Linked DNA regions of Danio rerio. The protein of the gene in region 1 purifies or fractionates together with the protein of each later gene. This does not show direct contact. Links are inferred from orthologs where the notes say so. Each region holds a gene or a part of one and is shown in the gene's direction. Other genes may lie near its edges. The genes, in order: racgap1, kif23, fam98a and shcbp1.

Region 1 (3,289 bases):
TCTTTGTTTATCATCATGCATCACAACATGCGTATCTTTGGCGATACCCAATAAAATGCTCGCTTACAGGGATTTTGTTTAGATGCTTAACGTTCGCTGAGATTTTGCTCGCATAAACAGTTCCTGTGAGTTTTGCTCTATAACAGCTAAAGTGTGTCCAGCTGTGTTGTCATTAGCTATGTGTCCATCCAAAAATGCGAATAAAATGTATGCGCAAAGCTAGATTATTGCAAACAGACGTGCGAATAAAGCAGCGTTTCCATCCAATGAGTCACAGCCAAATCATCAACACAGAAAACAGAATTTGCTGCGATAGGAGATGCTGCGTGAATCTTTTCTTCATTTAATAAATGCGCCTCAGAAGACATTGCAGACAAGCAGTGAACACACGTGGTGTTTGAAGGTGCAAGACACTGAGCACAGACGCTCTTGATTCTGAAGTTCATTAATAATAAAATAACACTAATACTGAAATAGTTAAGGCATTTTAGAATGCCCAGAGCAACATTTCAGATGTTTTTCAATGTGGTCAGCCTGCTGGTTTGTCTATTCGTGCACTTATTTGTATTTTCTATTCGTATTTTTATCACATAATCTCTTATAACAAAACCACATGACCTTTTTTAATGCGCATCTTTTCTTATATATTAGCCAGTTTATCCTACTCTGTTATGTGCACATGATTTTTATGTGCATTTTGTAAATGTATGCACATCTTGGCATCCATCAACCATATTTTTATGTGCATATCCAAAATGTGTATAAAAATAGGTGGGTGGAAACGTAGCTCGAGATGTCAGCAGGCACTCACAGTCGCATTTAACGTGTCGCATATCTAATTGTCTCGTGTGCACATGAAAGCGTGGCCCTCACGCAGGTGGGCATGCGCGAATGTTGGATTTGCGTGAACAGAGATGCACAAAAGCCCAAATCTGCATTTGTTGACAAAAAAGTTTGAGCTGAATTATGGGAGATGTCGGCCCGAAAATATCTTATTTATATTTTATTTATTTATTTATATTTTAGAGTTTTATGTCTCATCCAGAATATATAAATACATATAATTTAGCATTTAGATCATTTAGTTTTTATCATTACTATTGGACAGTGAAGAGAGTTTCAACCAGTACAACAAAAAAATGTTTCTGAAGACAATCACCTACTGCACCTTTAAATAAAACTCTTAGAAAGCTCAGATACCCGGTTAAAGGTGGTCATGATCAAACGCAAAACAATGTCAGAATACAGTATTGTTGTTGTTGTTGAAGTGTTTGCTATCACTTCATCAGTAAAATGTGAACCAATAGCAAAGACACGTCATACACACAGCAGATTTTACATGCACTGCCGCCAACAGACACTGTTTACTAACAAGATGACTGTGCCAAATCTTGGCCTGGCTTTCGTAATGTAATGTTTTTGGCCATTTTCCTTTATGTAAACATAAATCATTTTAAAAACAGTGTGTAAACATGTAACTTGTTATGTTGTAAACATACCCTAACTCTTGAGCACTACCTATAATACGCACATATTGCTTTGTCAGACTGGTTTGTACCGGGTATCTGGCTCTGATCGAGTGGTCAAGGACCTGAAAGAAAAGTTCCTGCGTGGGAAGACTGTTCCCCTGCTCAGCAAGGTGGAAGACATCCATGCTATCACTGGCCTCCTCAAGGACTTCCTAAGGAACCTCAAAGAGCCCCTGCTAACCTTCCGCCTCAATCGGGCATTCATGGATGCTGCAGGTATGTGATGTATAAATGTACACTGCTTTTTAACAGTTTGGGCTTTCTGAAAGTGTTTATTGGATCAAAACTGCAGTAAAAATATTGTCAGTTTTAATAAAAGTTTATTCTATGAAATATAAAATTAGCGTATGCAATTTACTCCTGTTTTGACTAGCATTTCTCCAGTCTTCATGAATCACTCTAATATCTTTTGAGATGTAATATTTTGTACCATAAATGTGCTTTGCTGACTGTTTTTGTTGGATAAAAGTGTTTTTTATTGTCCTAAATGTTTGAATTGTAGTACACCTGGGGGTGATAAGATAGGTGTGTGAATTTCAGTATATTTATTTATTTTGTCTATTTATTTTTGTAGAGCTGTCAGATGATGACAACAGCATTGCCTTGATGTATCAGAACATCAGTGATCTTCCACAGCCCCACAGAGACACTCTGGCCTTCCTCATCATCCATCTACAAAGGTAAATAGCAAACATTCTCTGATTTTACTCTCTGCTTTTTATTTTAATGCTAATTAGTTGTGAAATTCAAACGTTTCTTTCGAGATGATAAATGTATTTGTGAAATATTAAAGGTTTAAAGCAGTTGTGGTAGCAGTTTAACTAATAGGCCCTTTTAACATGCTGGAGATGTTTTTTTCCTAATTTTTTTCAGTTTAGTAACTAATATTACTGCTTAATTTAGGGAAAACAGTCCTCTCAAAAAGCAATTACTGTTCTTACTTTTTCTTTTTCTTTCTTTCATCATCAGGGTGGCCCAAAGCCCCGCTACAAAGATGGACATCACCAATCTGGCTCGTGTATTTGGACCCACAATTGTAGGCCATGCCGTTTCTAACCCAGAACCAATGACCATCCTACAGGACACAAAACGACAACCGAGGGTACGTGTTCATGGATAGTTTCCTATTTACAGCCGGTCACAATCGAACACTACAAAATACATATGAAATGAGATCTAAAATATTTTGAGCTTGTTAGATTTAAACCACTTTCAGAGCTTTGCTAAAGTTCATTGATTTGCTAGTGTAGATGCTTGTGTAATGGAATACATTTGAAAAGCTACAAAGACTACCTACACTCTACCTGCTAACTTCACTCATGACCATTAAAACAAGGTATTCATACTGAACTGCATAGTACCAAAGCATATTATGGTTGAAATTGTATTGGACATGCACTTCCTTTTGAGCATGCTCATAAGCAATTTCATCACAGTGATTACACTTACCAAAGTGATCTTGAGCGTGATGGAGGGGCTCAACAACAAAATCTGAAATACAGTTGAAAGGACAGATGTATTTAAGCTCAATTTTAGGTCCTCCTAGAGCTTTAAAAAATTTATTCAGCTGATCTCTGGGTTTGACTGAAGCACTTTCAGCTTCGCTTAGTATAAATCGGACTAGACCATTAGCATCTCACTCAATATCGTTAGCAATTCACTCAGAAAATATTCGTTGCTGCATAATATTAATATCGCTACGTGCCTAATATTGATTCGTCGCTGTATAATATCGCTGCCTAATATCCCTACGTGCCTAG
Region 2 (5,169 bases), on another chromosome or scaffold:
TCTATCGCTTTTCTCCACCAGAGGTGTGAAGAACAAATCATTCTGAAATTTGACATTTGGTTATGTCACTGCACAGGCCAACCAAGTAAGCTCCCTCTGAAAAAAAAAAATTATATTGTATGTATTATAGCTATGTTAAGTGGCCTGAAAAGATTCTAATCCGGAGGAATATAAGTCTGTAAAATTTGTAATTTGTGTGTTTATTATTCTTTTTTTTTGTAAATGTTTTGTGTTTTTGTCTGCTTCAAATCACATTCCTAAAATTTGCACTATTTCAAAGCACATTTCCATGTTCCAAGCACATGAATCACATTTATAATAATTTTTATCCAAGTGCCTATTTTAAATAAGGCTTTTTGAACACTGTATTTGTGAAGTCTTTGTCTTGTAAAGAAACTGTATTGAGAAGATATGCTATTTTTCTAAATAAAACTTTAAAGATAACTCTCCGTGTCCCGTGTCTCTCTCTCTCTCTATAGATGGATATCAAAGATGTAATTTTCCATTTTGGCATCTGAAATAAAAAAGTTTAACTGCAGAATTTATGATAAATATGTGTTGGCGCATGTAAAAATATGAATGCAACTAAGTTGAATATTATATAGTTACATATAACTTTGATGAAAAAAGTGATAAATTGTATGTTTCATCATTCTGTGTAACCCAAAATTTATGCAAGAAATACTTTAGTCATAAAACCATACATTTTATTATAAACTGAATTTATTAAAGAAAATGAAAGAATAAGTGATTAAACTAAGTGTGTTAAAATGTTCTTGCAGACATTTGAAGAAATGTGGCAAACCATAAAATCTTTTGTTTTTTAAAAATAATTTTTACGTTTATTTTAAAAGGATGATAAACAGTTATAAAGACAGTTATAATGTAAACTAAATCAAGACATCCCAATGTACAACTAAATGTATCAAAACGCATTTTATAAATATATATATATATATATATATATATATATATATATATATATATATATATATATATATAAATTATTTTTAAAAATATAATTCGGCCAACACAATTAGCCCCTTTTTTTCGCTATTTTTTTTTCGATAGTCTACAGAACAAACCATCACTATACAACTTGCCTAATTACCCTAACCTGCCTAGTTAACTTTATTAACCTAGTTAAGCCTTAAAATGTCCCTTTAAGCTGTATAGAAGTGTCTTAAAAAAGGTCTAGTAAAATATTATTCACTGTCATCATGGCAAAGATAAAATAAATCAGTTATTAGAAATACGTTATTAAAAGTATCATGTTTAGAAATGTGTTGAAAAAAAATCTCTGTTAAACAGAAATTGGGGAAAAACTAAAAATAAACGGGGGCTATTAATTCTGACTTCAAATGTGTGTGTGTAAATATATAATTTATTCCTCTGCTTATAATAATATTTAATATTAGGCTATTATAATATTCAAATATACATAAAAGTTTTAACACAAGCAGACAGACACGTATTTTTCGATTTTTGCGTTTTGTTTGTTTTTCTTTATTTTTTATTAATGCTTAAAGAACAAAGTACACAACAATACAAATACAAAAAGAAAGAAAAGAGAGCATCAGGGGTGTACAAAATACAAACTAACGTTATAAGACAAACAAATATATTTGTAAGTATGCATTCGGGTAAAGGGAAATGTGAGATCACAGGATCTTGAAGGTTTCATGTAAAACAATGCTTTTTAAATTGATATTACTTTTTCATTCAGTAATTAAAAATCGTATACTCCTTAAGAATATTTTAAATCTTCTTTGCATTTTTTATTAACAGAGTTCATTGTTTTCCTTTATGTAAGCTCCTGGCTTAAACCGGAATTTGTCAAGCGCCCATTAGGCGGGGCTTAAGGCGGGACATCCGCTCTTCTGAGGAGTGTTTGAGCTCGCTGATTGGTCACATTTGAAAAATCTGTGTCTGATGCGGACGAGGGAACGTTTGAAACTTCGGATTTGTATACGGTCAACAAGAAGGTAACAGCGTCGTGGAATTAAACTAAAACATCTCAGCATGATTAGGCAAGCGTAAGTATTTTATGCCGACTTGTGTTTTAGTTGTGCTAAATAGATAACCAGTAATTCAAAGTTCGTTTAGTCAGTCTGTTGTTTCATACGGACGTTGAGTGGTGTTCAGCAGGCATTTGTTAACGTTAGCCATCTAGTGTAACTCACCGCCTGTTGCGTTTACTTTAGCGTTAATCGTTTAGAATTAATCCACCGTCTCTGCCTAAGAAGTTTTACTTTATTTCTCTACTTTACTATTTGTTTTAGAAGTTTAATAATTTGTTATCTACATTATTATCGATAAACGTCAAACACTATATTTAGTTTCAAATTCCAGATTTAGTTTAACGTTAGATTAAAATTGTATAAGTAATCTACTGATTGTCTCTTTTATAGTGTAACTCTAAAACGTCATTTAACGTTATATTAAGTTAGGACTCTTCATATTTAGTTCGTCTATTTTTATTTTAAGTCGTGTTTACTAACTTGTATGTTGTCTGAATTTATTGTTAAAGGAAGGGCAAGACCCCCCGCCGCCCTCCTCCAAAAAAACCTTCAAACAACCAAAAGGACCCTGTTGGAGTATGTTGTAACTTGTCCTCACATTTAGTTAATCGAAATTGTGATAAATATATTAATTTGAGATCTCTTTGACAGGTGTATTGTCGAGTTCGGCCACTGGGTGCTGAAGATGAGGAATGTTGCATTGAGGTTATAAGTAACACCACCATTCAGTTACATGCTCCTGATGGACTCAAAGCCAACAGGAATGGGGAATTCAAAGAGGTTAGTGGACGTGTGCCAACCGTTTACTCATAAGAAGTCATTGAGGTAAAGTTGGTTTTATATTCGCTCATTTGTTCAGTGACAACTTGTGACATGCTCCCTATAGTGTTTACCTTGGAACTTTAAATATTCGGTCTGAAACCACATTTACCTATGACTTCAAAACAACAATAGCAATATTTACTTGACTGTGAACAGTGCTGTACTTTGATAGTCATTGGCTGCTAACATGATTTCTCTATTTAGAATTTGTAAACACTTTTGTGAAAGTATATTATAAAGGAGGAAGTCAGAATGTGCCAATATAAAACCAACTTTACCTCTATTTAAGAAGCCTATTTTTTTGCATTTCGTGAGGAATTGAAGAGTTAATTTATCTTGCACTCATTTACTCACTCTCGTGTCATTCCAAACCCAGAACACTTTTGTTCATCCTGAAAACATAAATGTAGATATTTTATAATAAAAAAGTGAAGTATTTCTACTCCACTGTTAATGTATTCATGCAAAACTGCTGCTGAAATGTGTCCATATGAACTGAGCAATCTGAAGAGATTAAATTGTACTAGAGCGCGGTATAAAATTTCAGCATTGATATCACAATGCGCAGATTTGAAATAATCGCGTTGCATGATCAACAATGTTGAGTCTAGATTATAATTAACCAGGAGCTACAGTTCAGAATGTGAGATTTGTGGATTTATCACTGTAATGTTTAAATATAATAAAGTGAATGTTTATCAGTTTTTTTTTCTGCGACTGTCTGATCATTTCAGGAGAGTTAAAAGCAATCAGGCACAATAAATTATAATGTTTGGAGGTTAAATAAAGATTAATTAAATTGAATTATGTATACGATCGTATTTAGACTATATAGTGTTTTTTTTTATATTTAATTATTTAATTTGTGTCCCTGACTACAGTTAGACTCCCTTAGAAATATCATAAATCACATTTTATTTTACTTATCTATGCTTTTTTTTTAAACATATTATGCAGATGTACTCCCTGCAAAATTATTACAATCTTAAAAAATATGAATTATTATTATTATTTCTTCAACCAAGCTGTTCAAGGCATCTTGTGAATTTTTATTCATATCACAATGTATTTTTCAAAATCGTGCAGCCCTAAATTGTATTTTATTATATTGTATTGAATTTTTGGTCATGAACTGCAGCTTGTACAATATCTGTTTGACGAGATTTGTGGTCTGAAGATAATTCATTTTCAGTAAAAATCTTTGCAACACAAGGGATAGTTTTTGCAGTAGTTAAAGGTGCAGTAGGTGATTGTCTTCAGAAACATTTTTTGTTGTGCTGGTTAAAAGTCTCTTTGCATTCCAATAGTAATGATTAAAGTAAATGATCTAAGTGTATTTTTATACTCTGAGTGAGGCATAAGACGAAAAAATGTTCATCCATTTAAAATTCATTGGCCCCACAATTCCCATAATTCTAATAAGTAGCCCAAACAGTCTGTCAGCAAATGTACATTTGAACATCTGCACACCAATTCACGCAGATCTGCCATTTACGCGTGAGTGCGCGCCACATTCATTACATGCACAGAAGAGAGAACGATTTTTTTATTTATTTTTTAAACAAATGCTGAATCAAAACTTTTTAAAATCCTGAATCAATATTGGAATTACTTTTGCACGTTGGAGGAAGGATGATGCCTTTGCTGAAGTATTTATATTAGACAGGTGATGTTATGTTTTAAAAGTATTTTAGTCACTCAAAGCTGATGTTGACTGTGTTGTTTTTTGAATCAGTTATATGCACAGGAGTGTTGTTTAGTCACATCAATCTTTTGGCGAGACATTTCAGTGGCTGTTCAATTTCATAAGAGACCTTTTACAGCATTGACAATGTTTATTTAGTTTAACAACAACTAAATGGAACTATTCTGCCTAGCCTGTTTACTGTGGGGAAATTGGTTTTATATTCACATTGGTTCATTTTTGGTCCCTATATTGTTTACCATGCTACTTTGAATATTCGGTCTGAAATGGCATGCAAGAATGGCTTTGTAATGTGTAAGTCCTGCACCCTGCCGGCCAACCACTAATCATACTGTAGTCGCTTTAGGGCAAAGCGTGTGAGAGAGACCAGAGATCTTTCCTTGCATGATGCATGAAATATTGCACATGACAGGTTTTGCTTGCTACACAACTGAAAATGTGCTAGATATAATACAGTTTTTCATTCAGAATTGTAGTATTATAAAGTACTATAATGTTTTCTAACTAGTAAATGACAAGATCTAGTGGATTGTCTACTGTTATCTTTAATGTACGCGTTTGTGATTTCAGGAGGCAGGATAGGGAATGTATTTCAAAGATATTATGCTAACCGGTTAGCAG
Region 3 (4,961 bases), on another chromosome or scaffold:
TGATCATCGTGGAACCGCTCTGGTCAGTAGTGAGACCACCAAAGGGTCGGTTCTGCAGTGGAGAAAGAGCAACATAAAAAATATCTGTCATTAATAATAATCCTGTGAATGTGTTATTCAAGTAAAACATAGGCCATTGATTGACCTATAGTAGAAAGCCATGAAACCACAATGCATTTTATTCTCTTTAAATCTAAAAAAAAAAATAACGTTACCGCCAAATTACTTTTAACAAAAGTAAATCAGCATATAAGGTTAAATTAATTACTGAGATGCTAAACAATCCTTAAACTCATTTTTAATCACATGACATCACACTCATTGATTGCATGTCAAGTTCCACATACAATACCGAAATCATTGAACTATTATTTCGTGCACCGCTATCAAAATGCATATCTTGCATTAAATCCATAAATATACATGACATAGATATAATAAAACATATTTTAAAAGACGTAACGTACATCCGGTATTTCTATCAGCTCGATCTGTGGGACAAATAAGTGCAGGTTGTTTTTATGAATGCACAGTAAAAACTCGCACCTCGTAGAATGAATCTCTGTTGTAGTTTTCATTGCCTGGTCCGTACGGGCGTCCCGGAGGGGGAATAGGCTGCGGACTGCAGTATCGAGGCCCCGGAGGAGGAACCCCAAAAGGAGGACAGAACGGCGGAGGTCCGAAAGGTGCTATAGGGTGTCCGAAACGTGATGGAGGTACCGGTGCCCGGTGATAGTCGGGGTTCGACGGACCTCGGTACATTTTTAAACATCAATATCTCATAGATACATGTGTTGTTGTAACGAGTTTGTTTCCATTCACTCTGAGCTATGAGCTCTTTTGGGTCTAAAATGAGTCTGAGTCCAGTCACAGCGCCGTCTGCAGGACTGGAGAAGTAACGCACATTATATAGGCGATTCAAAACAATGCCTGTTCAAAACTGTTTTGCTCACTTTACAAAGGCAAAATGACTAATTCACACAAAATTGAAACTGTTAAATTTATAATTTAGATTTTTTTGCTTAGATTCTATTAATTTTATATATTTCACTTTATTTTATTTCGAGTTTGTACAATTTCTACACTTCATCATAGACACAACAAATATTTTTCAATATTTTTTATGCCAATAATTAAATTACCCAAGATATAAGATCATCGAAAAGGTACCATTATCCTAAAGTTACATTTCATAGCACATCATTTATTTGTTTGTTTATTTACTAATTCATGTTTGTTTTTATCAAATTTTTATTTATTTATTTTGGCCTTTTTTTAAAAAACATTTATCTTGACTTTTTTCGATTTGGTTCAGGTTTTTCTGGTTTTGGATTTACATGGAAACATTGTAGTCTGCATTATTTCGTGTATATGGGTTTTTTCCGATATTTATAAAATGTCATATTAAAATACAGCTTTATTTCATGATTTAATAAATAGTTATTTGTGTTTATTTGTCTTTTTATATCTTTAGAATATCGCGTGAAACATAAACATGGATTTAGTTGTTTAGACAGAGATGGTTTAGAGTTTTAGAAATATATTCCGGCATATATTTGGTCAGCTTAAAGTGCTGAGACGAGGGCCCCATTATGCCAACCTAGCATTGCAGTCGTTACGGCTGCTAGAGGGAGTGATTCACAATGGAAGTTACTGATATTCTTGACTCTTTGGAGGACCTGGGGTATGTGAATGAAGTCCCCATTTATAATATGTGTTTCTGTTGTCTTATTAGAGGTTTATATTTTGGTTTACGGCACAAATGTGATCATTAGCACGCGTGCTCTGGTTCGCCGGGTGTTCTGCATGGTCTGACACCCAGATCCGCTTCTCTTATTCTCAACGTCTGTAGTTTACATCTGCTTTAAGCTGTTATTTTCAAACGTTTTGTAACCCTCAGTAGTCGAGATCTGTTGTATGTCAGGTCATTTCAGAGCCTGGGCTACTGGCACATGTATTTGACAGCGTGATTTCTGTGATCAATGTTCTGATTTGGGCCGTGCAGCCCTGCCCAGCAGTGCTTAAATATCTCAAATATCGCCAGCGCCAGAAATAGCCTGAATCATCATAGCCTAAACGAACACACCTCTGTCACCACTGCTGTGTCAGACGAGTTTACAAGATTATCAAGTCCATAGACTGTTCTAGAATCAGTGCAGAACTGACAAACATGGGTGGGTTTTGGATGTTTTATGTAATGTATTTTTAATGCTATTTGATGACTGTACCTAATTGCTGTATAATGTCTATTATTGACTTAACACATTCAGCTTTAGAAATCTATATCAGAGATAAGCAGTTACGTTTTGCAGTGTCACAACACTGGTCAGTTCACATTCTCCCAAATAGAAGTGCAGCATGATCCAGGAAACCCTCTCAAAATGCAAATATAGTCAAACTGAATGTGTGTTTGCAGATACCAGGGTCCACTTCTAGAGGATGGAACTCTTGAGACAGCTGTGACTGGTGGTGCTGAATCTCCAGAGTTCACCAAACTGTGTGCGTGGCTTGTGTCTGAGCTGAAACTCTACTGCAAACTAGAGGAGAATGTGCAGGCGACCAACTGTGAGTTTGATACTGCGCACATCATATACTCAATCAGACCAAAGAAGAGTCATTTAGGTTGTGTTTCTGCAGAATTAAAATATGTAGGATTTGCCTGATGGATTTGGGTGTGGTGTTTGCAGGTCCAAGCGAGGCGGAGGGGTTTCAGCTGGAGATGAGTGGTCTTTTAGCTGAGCTGTGCTGTCCGTATCCTGCTCTGACCACGGGAGAGGTCACCAAACGTCTGCTGAATGCTAACAACTGCGTCTTACTGTTAAGTATGTAAACAGCAAAAAGGTTCTGATCATTTATGTGGTTGTTTAGAACGTGGGATACATTATTTTGTGAAATGTGGTATGTTTAACTAGGGCTGCACAATTCTGGCTAAAATCAGAATCACTTTTTTTTTTTGCTTAAAATCAAGATCACAATTTTCTCAGGATTCTGTAGATGTAAAATTAAGGTTATTATGAGTAGGCTATTATGATTGTTATTTCTCAAACATGGTAAAACAACAACAATAATTTTAAGTCTTATGTGTAGGTCTACTGTTGGTTAAAATGCTACATTTTGTATAGACTTGGAATGCTGGACTTGACTAGAGTTTAAAGGGTCACGAAACACCAAAACACATTTTTTGAGCTGTTGACAGTTGTATATGTGTCCCACACTGCTAAAAACACTATAAGGACACCTATATTTCACTAAAAAGTGTAAATTGGTTGTTTTTGCATTATTTCAAGCAAATTCGTACTTCCGGTTTGAAACAAATTTTTTAAGCTGCGTCACGGTCATGACATAATAGCGTTGTATTCCAGCGTGCAGACTGGGCGTCTGTGCCAGAGTGTGTCTTATCACGTCTTCTGCACGTCTAGTTTGCTGCAGTTAAGTTTCGTTTTCAATTTCTCTCTGTGAGAGCTCAGAGTCACGTGTGGATTAACAGTGTACGTGACGCTCGACAACAATAACTTACGTGTCTAAGGAGGATTATTGTTTACCTGAGAGCTGTTCTCATCTGCAAACGCTGAGATCCGGATTCGCTTGTAGTATTCTCTTCATAAAGACGCGGCTCTAGTAGTTGCTGGTGATTGTCCTGTCTCTACAGATTTGGTAAGTGAGCGACCAGTGCTCTTTGTTTATTCAGTTTGTTCGTATCTAACAAACTATTGCACCGAGTGTAAACACGTTAGCACCACAACCAAACTTTAACCTCGTGTAGGGTTTTTACCGCATTTAGTGACCGGAATAACACACGCGGCTTTCTGACGCTACCTGCCGTGTGCATCTAAGTTTCCGGGAAATGCAGAGGGTTTTTATTCTCTCACTCGCCGTGCGGTATCAAACATTGCATGAAAAATACACGCTTAGAGCAGTTCCTCGAATCAAATATCTCATTTGTCGTGAGGGGCATGAATGAATTCCCTTAATGAAAGAGCCAAACTGCAGTTAAAGTCCACCATTTAATAATTTGGCAAATAATTCGACTACAGATGTCCATGTAGGTTAAACACCATCACTTTCTACTGTGTGTGTGAATTTTGACTCTGAAACTCGCGCGCGCCCAAATAGACACTCCCACACCCTCCCACTTTAGTTCCTCCGACACTCCCCCCTAAACAGAGCTGGACACGCCCACTTTTCTGACTTTTTCCAAAGTAGAGGTGTGAAAACACCCTGCTGAAACGAGGGGGTTTCATGGCCCTTTAAAGAGCCCTTATTATGGGTTTTTGAAAACGACTTTCCATGTAGTCTGTAACAGTGAAGTGAACAGTGAAGTCAATTGTCCAGCAGAGGCTTAAATCTGAAAGTGGACAGTGTTTAAAACTATTGATTCGGTTATAAAAGAGTCAACTCATTGTGGTTCATAACCTAAGCCCCGCCCAATTGTTGCTTGCGCAAACCCGGGAAAATTTAAACCTGAGGTCCCGCCCATTAATACAGTAGCAAAGAAAAGGAAGACAAACAGATCCCAGTTGGATCAAGTCATGAAGACGCTGTGCTTTGCTGGATATTATTGGAAGTATGTGGGAAAGTTAGTGTTATTTTCTCTACTTTCTGGGAACAAATGAAACGCTGAATGAATCATATCATATCGCTGGGATAATTTGCTAAAAATAAATGCATATTATAAGACCATGAAAGTGTGTATTGACCTTGCATTCATATCAGCATGTTGTTTGAGACACATAAAACCAAAATATGACCCTTTTTAATGTATAATAGGGGCTCTTTAAATTTATCCTGGATGCTAATTCACAACTATAAATAGTTCTAATGTTGAATTATTATGTTTAAGACACATGCTTGTCATTTGTCATAGACAAGATTATTAGACCATTTTTTTTTCACTGATAAAATGAGACATTTGTCATTATCAGATTTCCTCCTGCATTATATTCAACATTATATAGGATAGA
Region 4 (5,120 bases), on another chromosome or scaffold:
AAATCAAAAAGTTGTAGCATTTCACCATTGATATAAGGGGCTTGTTTTGAGTTTAATTATCGTGTTTTTTTCCTGTTTGATATAAAGACAGCCTTGGAGATTGCGCCGAGATGGTGCTGTAACAACTCTGACAGCAAACCTTTCTCCACTGCCATACAGATGCAGCAAGATGGTTCGGCCCTCATACCAGGAGTCAAAACAAGAATTTGTTGATTTGCGACCTCTAGGTGTAGGACAATAAATCTTGGACATTATTTAATTCATGTGTGCATACATATATAAAGGAGGAAGATGAGCAACAGAGACAGAACCCTCTTGTCCTGCTGCTTGTGGATGAACTAAACTGCTCTCAGGCGTTCGTTGTTGTGGGAGAAGTGGCACTAAACTCATAGATTTAAATTAGACATTGCCAATGTACTAAAAGCTACTACTATAATAATAATAATAAAATAATAATAATTATTATCATTATTTACTATTATATAGTGGTTGAGCCAACTTTTGGCAAAAAAAGCCAACAAATTGGTTATTTTTGTAACCCAAATTGTTGGGTTAACCTTAACAACCCAATGGGACATACGTGTTTTATATCCAAGGGACATATATGTGTTATACATGAGTATATATGTTTCTGGCATACAGTTGAATTCAGAATTATTCAAAATTATATATATATATATTTTTTTTATATTTCCCAAATGATGTTTAACAGAGCAAGGACATTTTCACAGTATGTCTGATAATATTTTTTTTCTTCTGGAGAAACTCTTATTTGTTTTATTTTGTCTAGCTATTTTTGAATTTATTAATTTTTTTTTACTAAATAAAATTTTAAACACCATTTTAAGGACAAATTTTAAGCAATTTTTTTTTCGATTGTCTACACTAACAAACCATCGTTATACAATAACTTTCCTAATTACCCTAACCTGCCAAGTTAACCTAATTAACCTAGTCATGCCTTTAGTTGTCACTTTAAGCATAGAAGTGTCTTGAAAAATATCTTGTCAAATATTATTTACTGTCATCATGACAAAGATAAAATAAATCAGTTATTAGAAATAAGTTATTAAAACTATTATGTTTAGAAATGTGTTGAAAAAAAAATCTGCTCTCCGTTAAACAGAAATTGGAAAGAAAAAAAATGAAAAGGGGGGCTAATAATACAGGGGGGCTAATAATTCTGACCTCAACTGCATGTGGAGAAATATGTTTCTGATATATATGTGGAGATTTAGCTTTCTGACATATATAGAACATATACGTTTCTGACATATCTGGACATATCCTGAAATATAAGGGACATGGAATTCAGACATTTTTGGGACTATTGTTTCTGACACGGACATATTTGTTTCTGGCATGTATGAGGACATATGTGTTTCAGACATATATGGGACATGTTTTTCTTGGCATACATGTGGGCTTATATGTTTCTGACACAATTTGGGACATTTAAATATGTGGAAATATATCTTTCTGATATGGGACATATTTGATTCTGCCATATATCTGGACATGTATGATTATGAAACATAAAGGACATGTTATGATTCAGACATTTTTGGGACTCGTTTGTAATTGTTTATTTAACTACTGAGTACTATTTATTTATTACATAGATGGTTGGGTAGAATGTGAGATAGCCTATGTTTAGGGTTACGTATTTATGCATAATTTATAGTAATTACAAGAGTATGGAACTTGTCTAATTACGTAATTAAAAGTGTTACAAAATATTTAACATGTTGAATATAAATGTTTATATTGTCAATGTCTATATTGTAAATACTTCATATAATTTATTTAACCTACTTTTGTACCGAAACAAAATGTTCAAGTTTAAAAGAACAAATAGCCTACATGATGACCTGTTCATAACGGGAGCTATAATAACTAAATAAACTATAAACTGCGCTTTGCCCCTTTAAGAGTGCGTCAGTTTGCCCCGCCCCGCCAGTTTATTGGGCGCTCCGCCTGGGCAGCGTTTGAAAATACAAGTGAAGGGAGGAGACAGACAAGACAGGCCAACAGAAACTGTTAAGCGAGTTATTAAGCGACATTTTAACAAACTTTAAACTTACTTTACTGTAATATATTGACATTTTAAGCTTCAGTGATGTCCGGGGAAGTTGAGTGTCCAAAGCCAGAGGAGGTAAGGGACTGCGAGACTGAAAACGGCGTTGAAATCATCATCAAACCAACCAGCGGAGATCCACAAAATAATAACGACCAGAATGTAAATCAGCAGACCATCTTTAATGACATCAGACAAAACCACAGTCGGGTTTCAAAAGGTTTGTGATATACACGCTTTGTAAATATTGTCGTTTGATTTGGTATGTTTTCTGTCAGGTTAAAATGTCAATGACTTAAATTTAAACATAGAGGTAAAATTGGCTTTATTTTTGTATTTTCAGACATTCTCCTTAATAATATAATTTCAGAAAAATATTCTTCGCAAATTCTAAATAGGGAACTCATATTAGCAGCCAGTGACTATCAGTACAACACTGCTCACAGTGAATTGGATCATGTTAATGTTGTTTAGAAGTCATACTTGCATGCTAATTCCGATCGAATATTCAACGTAACATTGTAAACAAAATATAGAGACTGCTAAATCAACGAATGTGCGAATTTGAAACCAACTTTACCTCTATAATTTAGACTTAATCTTTAGCCACACTTTTGACTTTTACATGTTTGTTTTTTTTGCACGTAGTAGGACGCAGTTTGTGTAAGATATGCCACTTTATTGATCCACCAATGTACATTGTTTTCAGAGTTATTTCAGGCAGTAGGTGAGGAGGATGAGAATGATGATGATGATGATGATGATGATGACAGTGGCACACATTATCTAAATGGTGACGATAGACCCTGCACTCATCTACAGCGAGCAGAGAGACCAGGAAATGGAGGACTGCCGGACACCTTTCAAACAGACAATCTTCTGTACTATGAAAGATTCAAGGCCTATCAAGATTACATGCTTGGTAACACTTCAGACACTTTTGATAGACATTCATAACAATAAATGACTTAAGAAGAGTATATTTATGAACCTAAAATGTCTGACAGGTGACAGTAAACCATCTGAAGTACAGTCTTTCACTGCTGAATACTTGGAGAAGATCGTGGAGCCATGTGATTGGCAAGGCATATGGCACACCGATGTATTTGATGTGCTGGTTGAAGTAAGCATATGAAATTTGTTTAATTAGTTTTATTTTTTTTACAATTAAAACATTGAAGCATCTACACAGTGGAATGTGGAGAAAGCTGAGTAATGTGTGTTGTTGTTGTAGGTTGTTGACGTTGATTGTAAAGCGCTGAAGGCAAAAGTAGAGCTGGTACTGCCGATGGCGTGTGAGACCAGAGGCTGTGATCTTACTGAAGAATCCATGAAGGCTCTGCTGGAGGCTACACTTCATAAAGTACCTCTTATGGAGCTTTCGGTTGTCTATGATGAGTCTGGAGACTTTGATCAGACTGCTTTGGCCCTGGAACACCTTAGGTAATCCAACTTTTTTTTTTTTTTTTTTAAGGTGAATTTTTAATTTTTTTGACCAGTCTTACTGTTTACTTTATATTGACAGACCAGTATACATGATACGAGAATGAGCAATACCTAAAAATAGTAATTAAAAATGTTTAATGTATGTAATAATTATGGTTTGGTACTATTTCAGATGTCACGATTTTTTATCTGTTGGTTGAAATGAATTCTTGATTCAGTTTATGATCTTTGACTGACTTTAATTTTTGTGCATTAAGCATGAATAGCTATTGCTCTTCTAAAAAAACTAAATTAAACAAAACAGTGAACATAAGTTTACAAATGGTAAAAAAGAAATTAAGATAATTTAACCTTTATAAAACTGTAACATTATAAAAATATAATAAACTTTATTTCAAGTACATATATGTGACTTATATATTCTTAATATTTGGTACATTTCAGGCATTTCCCCATTTATTTTCCTTTGTTAATCACTGACAGAGTTGACAAACACATTGCAGTAACACAATAACAAATAATAAAAAAGATTTTTCCTTTAGCTTAAGATGCTAACCTCAAACCAGAATAATACAAAAAACAGATGTTTCTCCTACATTTTTATTTGGCTTATTATAGTAAAGATGAAAATTAGACGTACAAACTATATTTATGGATGTATTGAACTAATTTGTATTATTCTTTAAAACTGTTTCATTAATATTTTGTTTTATATTTGGAACAATAAAATAAGAGATTTTGTCTCAGGAACATGAAATGCATCCTTAATTCTAGAGTCGATATATTCCTAAAAGCTGGAACGATTATGTAAAAGCAAAGCGTGCAGGACTGAAAAAATGGCACACCTCAGTGCACACATCTCTAATACTGCTTTAGAGTGGTATTTGAGGCTAAGCATCTACCCATCTATAATCACATTTTAAGAACTTGTGTTATCAAACTGTCAAGGTAATTTTCCATTTGCAGTAAGTTAATCTATTTGGGGATCACATCAAATTTATGTAAAACATAAGTGTTGCACATTTTAATGGAGCAAAGATGTTTGTGTATTTTGTAAAACAGTTGCACCTTCTTAACTTTACAAGCATCTAAATAAAATATTCAAATAGAACCTTTTATCAATGTTTACATTTTAAATAAGTGGCAAGAGGAATGGGATGCATTGAGAAATAATAAATTGTATGAAATACAACCTGAAATCTCAAACAGAGTTTCAAGACATTTTAATACTAGATTTGATTAAGGGATTTTTACCAGATATCATATTGGATATACAAGCTTAACCCATGCCTTTTGGCTCAGGTGAAGACCCCACTCAATGTTGGTACTGCAATGTTGGTAACTCCCCTTTCTGTAAAACACATTTTATTAGACTGTCCAGCTTTTAATGATTCCAGAAGTTTTTTTTTTTTAATGAATTAATTATCTTAAGGACATCTTTAACGAAGTGACACCCTACATTTTTATTTTTATCATGTATTAACACGAAAAAAAAAAAAACTTTAATTTATGTATTCATTTGTTTGTTGTTTTAATTGTATATTTCTATTGAAATGGTCCTGCCATAAAAATAGCCTTGTTTGCTGACTTGACATTA

What was found.
Region 2: the proteins of racgap1 (region 1) and kif23 purify together in Homo sapiens (co-immunoprecipitation; 10 studies listed by BioGRID and IntAct, counting the BioPlex papers as one, with this or other methods). This does not show direct contact. The link is inferred for Danio rerio from reciprocal best matches to the Homo sapiens genes RACGAP1 and KIF23.
Region 3: the proteins of racgap1 (region 1) and fam98a purify together in Homo sapiens (co-immunoprecipitation; 3 studies listed by BioGRID and IntAct, with this or other methods). This does not show direct contact. The link is inferred for Danio rerio from reciprocal best matches to the Homo sapiens genes RACGAP1 and FAM98A.
Region 4: the proteins of racgap1 (region 1) and shcbp1 purify together in Homo sapiens (affinity purification with mass spectrometry; 8 studies listed by BioGRID and IntAct, counting the BioPlex papers as one, with this or other methods). This does not show direct contact. The link is inferred for Danio rerio from reciprocal best matches to the Homo sapiens genes RACGAP1 and SHCBP1.

Annotation. Positions count from the first base shown.
Region 1 is NC_133198.1:36,721,157-36,724,445, reverse strand, and holds part of racgap1 (rac GTPase-activating protein 1), read left to right. Parts: intron 1-1,546; coding exon 1,547-1,745; intron 1,746-2,103; coding exon 2,104-2,209; intron 2,210-2,498; coding exon 2,499-2,631; intron 2,632-3,289.
Region 2 is NC_133193.1:21,843,797-21,848,965, reverse strand, and holds the start of kif23 (kinesin-like protein KIF23), read left to right. Parts: upstream 1-1,992; 5' UTR 1,993-2,022; coding exon 2,023-2,036; intron 2,037-2,530; coding exon 2,531-2,597; intron 2,598-2,672; coding exon 2,673-2,801; intron 2,802-5,169.
Region 3 is NC_133192.1:24,537,901-24,542,861, reverse strand, and holds the start of fam98a (protein FAM98A), read left to right. Parts: upstream 1-1,580; 5' UTR 1,581-1,643; coding exon 1,644-1,684; intron 1,685-2,416; coding exon 2,417-2,565; intron 2,566-2,687; coding exon 2,688-2,822; intron 2,823-4,961. Other genes in the region: uncharacterized protein si:ch211-195b21.5, read right to left, coding at 1-52, 547-762. UniProt on the Homo sapiens protein: Positively stimulates PRMT1-induced protein arginine methylation. Involved in skeletal homeostasis. Positively regulates lysosome peripheral distribution and ruffled border formation in osteoclasts.
Region 4 is NC_133182.1:46,428,018-46,433,137, reverse strand, and holds the start of shcbp1 (SHC SH2 domain-binding protein 1), read left to right. Parts: upstream 1-1,989; 5' UTR 1,990-2,119; coding exon 2,120-2,297; intron 2,298-2,786; coding exon 2,787-2,999; intron 3,000-3,084; coding exon 3,085-3,200; intron 3,201-3,311; coding exon 3,312-3,520; intron 3,521-5,120. UniProt on the Homo sapiens protein: May play a role in signaling pathways governing cellular proliferation, cell growth and differentiation. May be a component of a novel signaling pathway downstream of Shc. Acts as a positive regulator of FGF signaling in neural progenitor cells.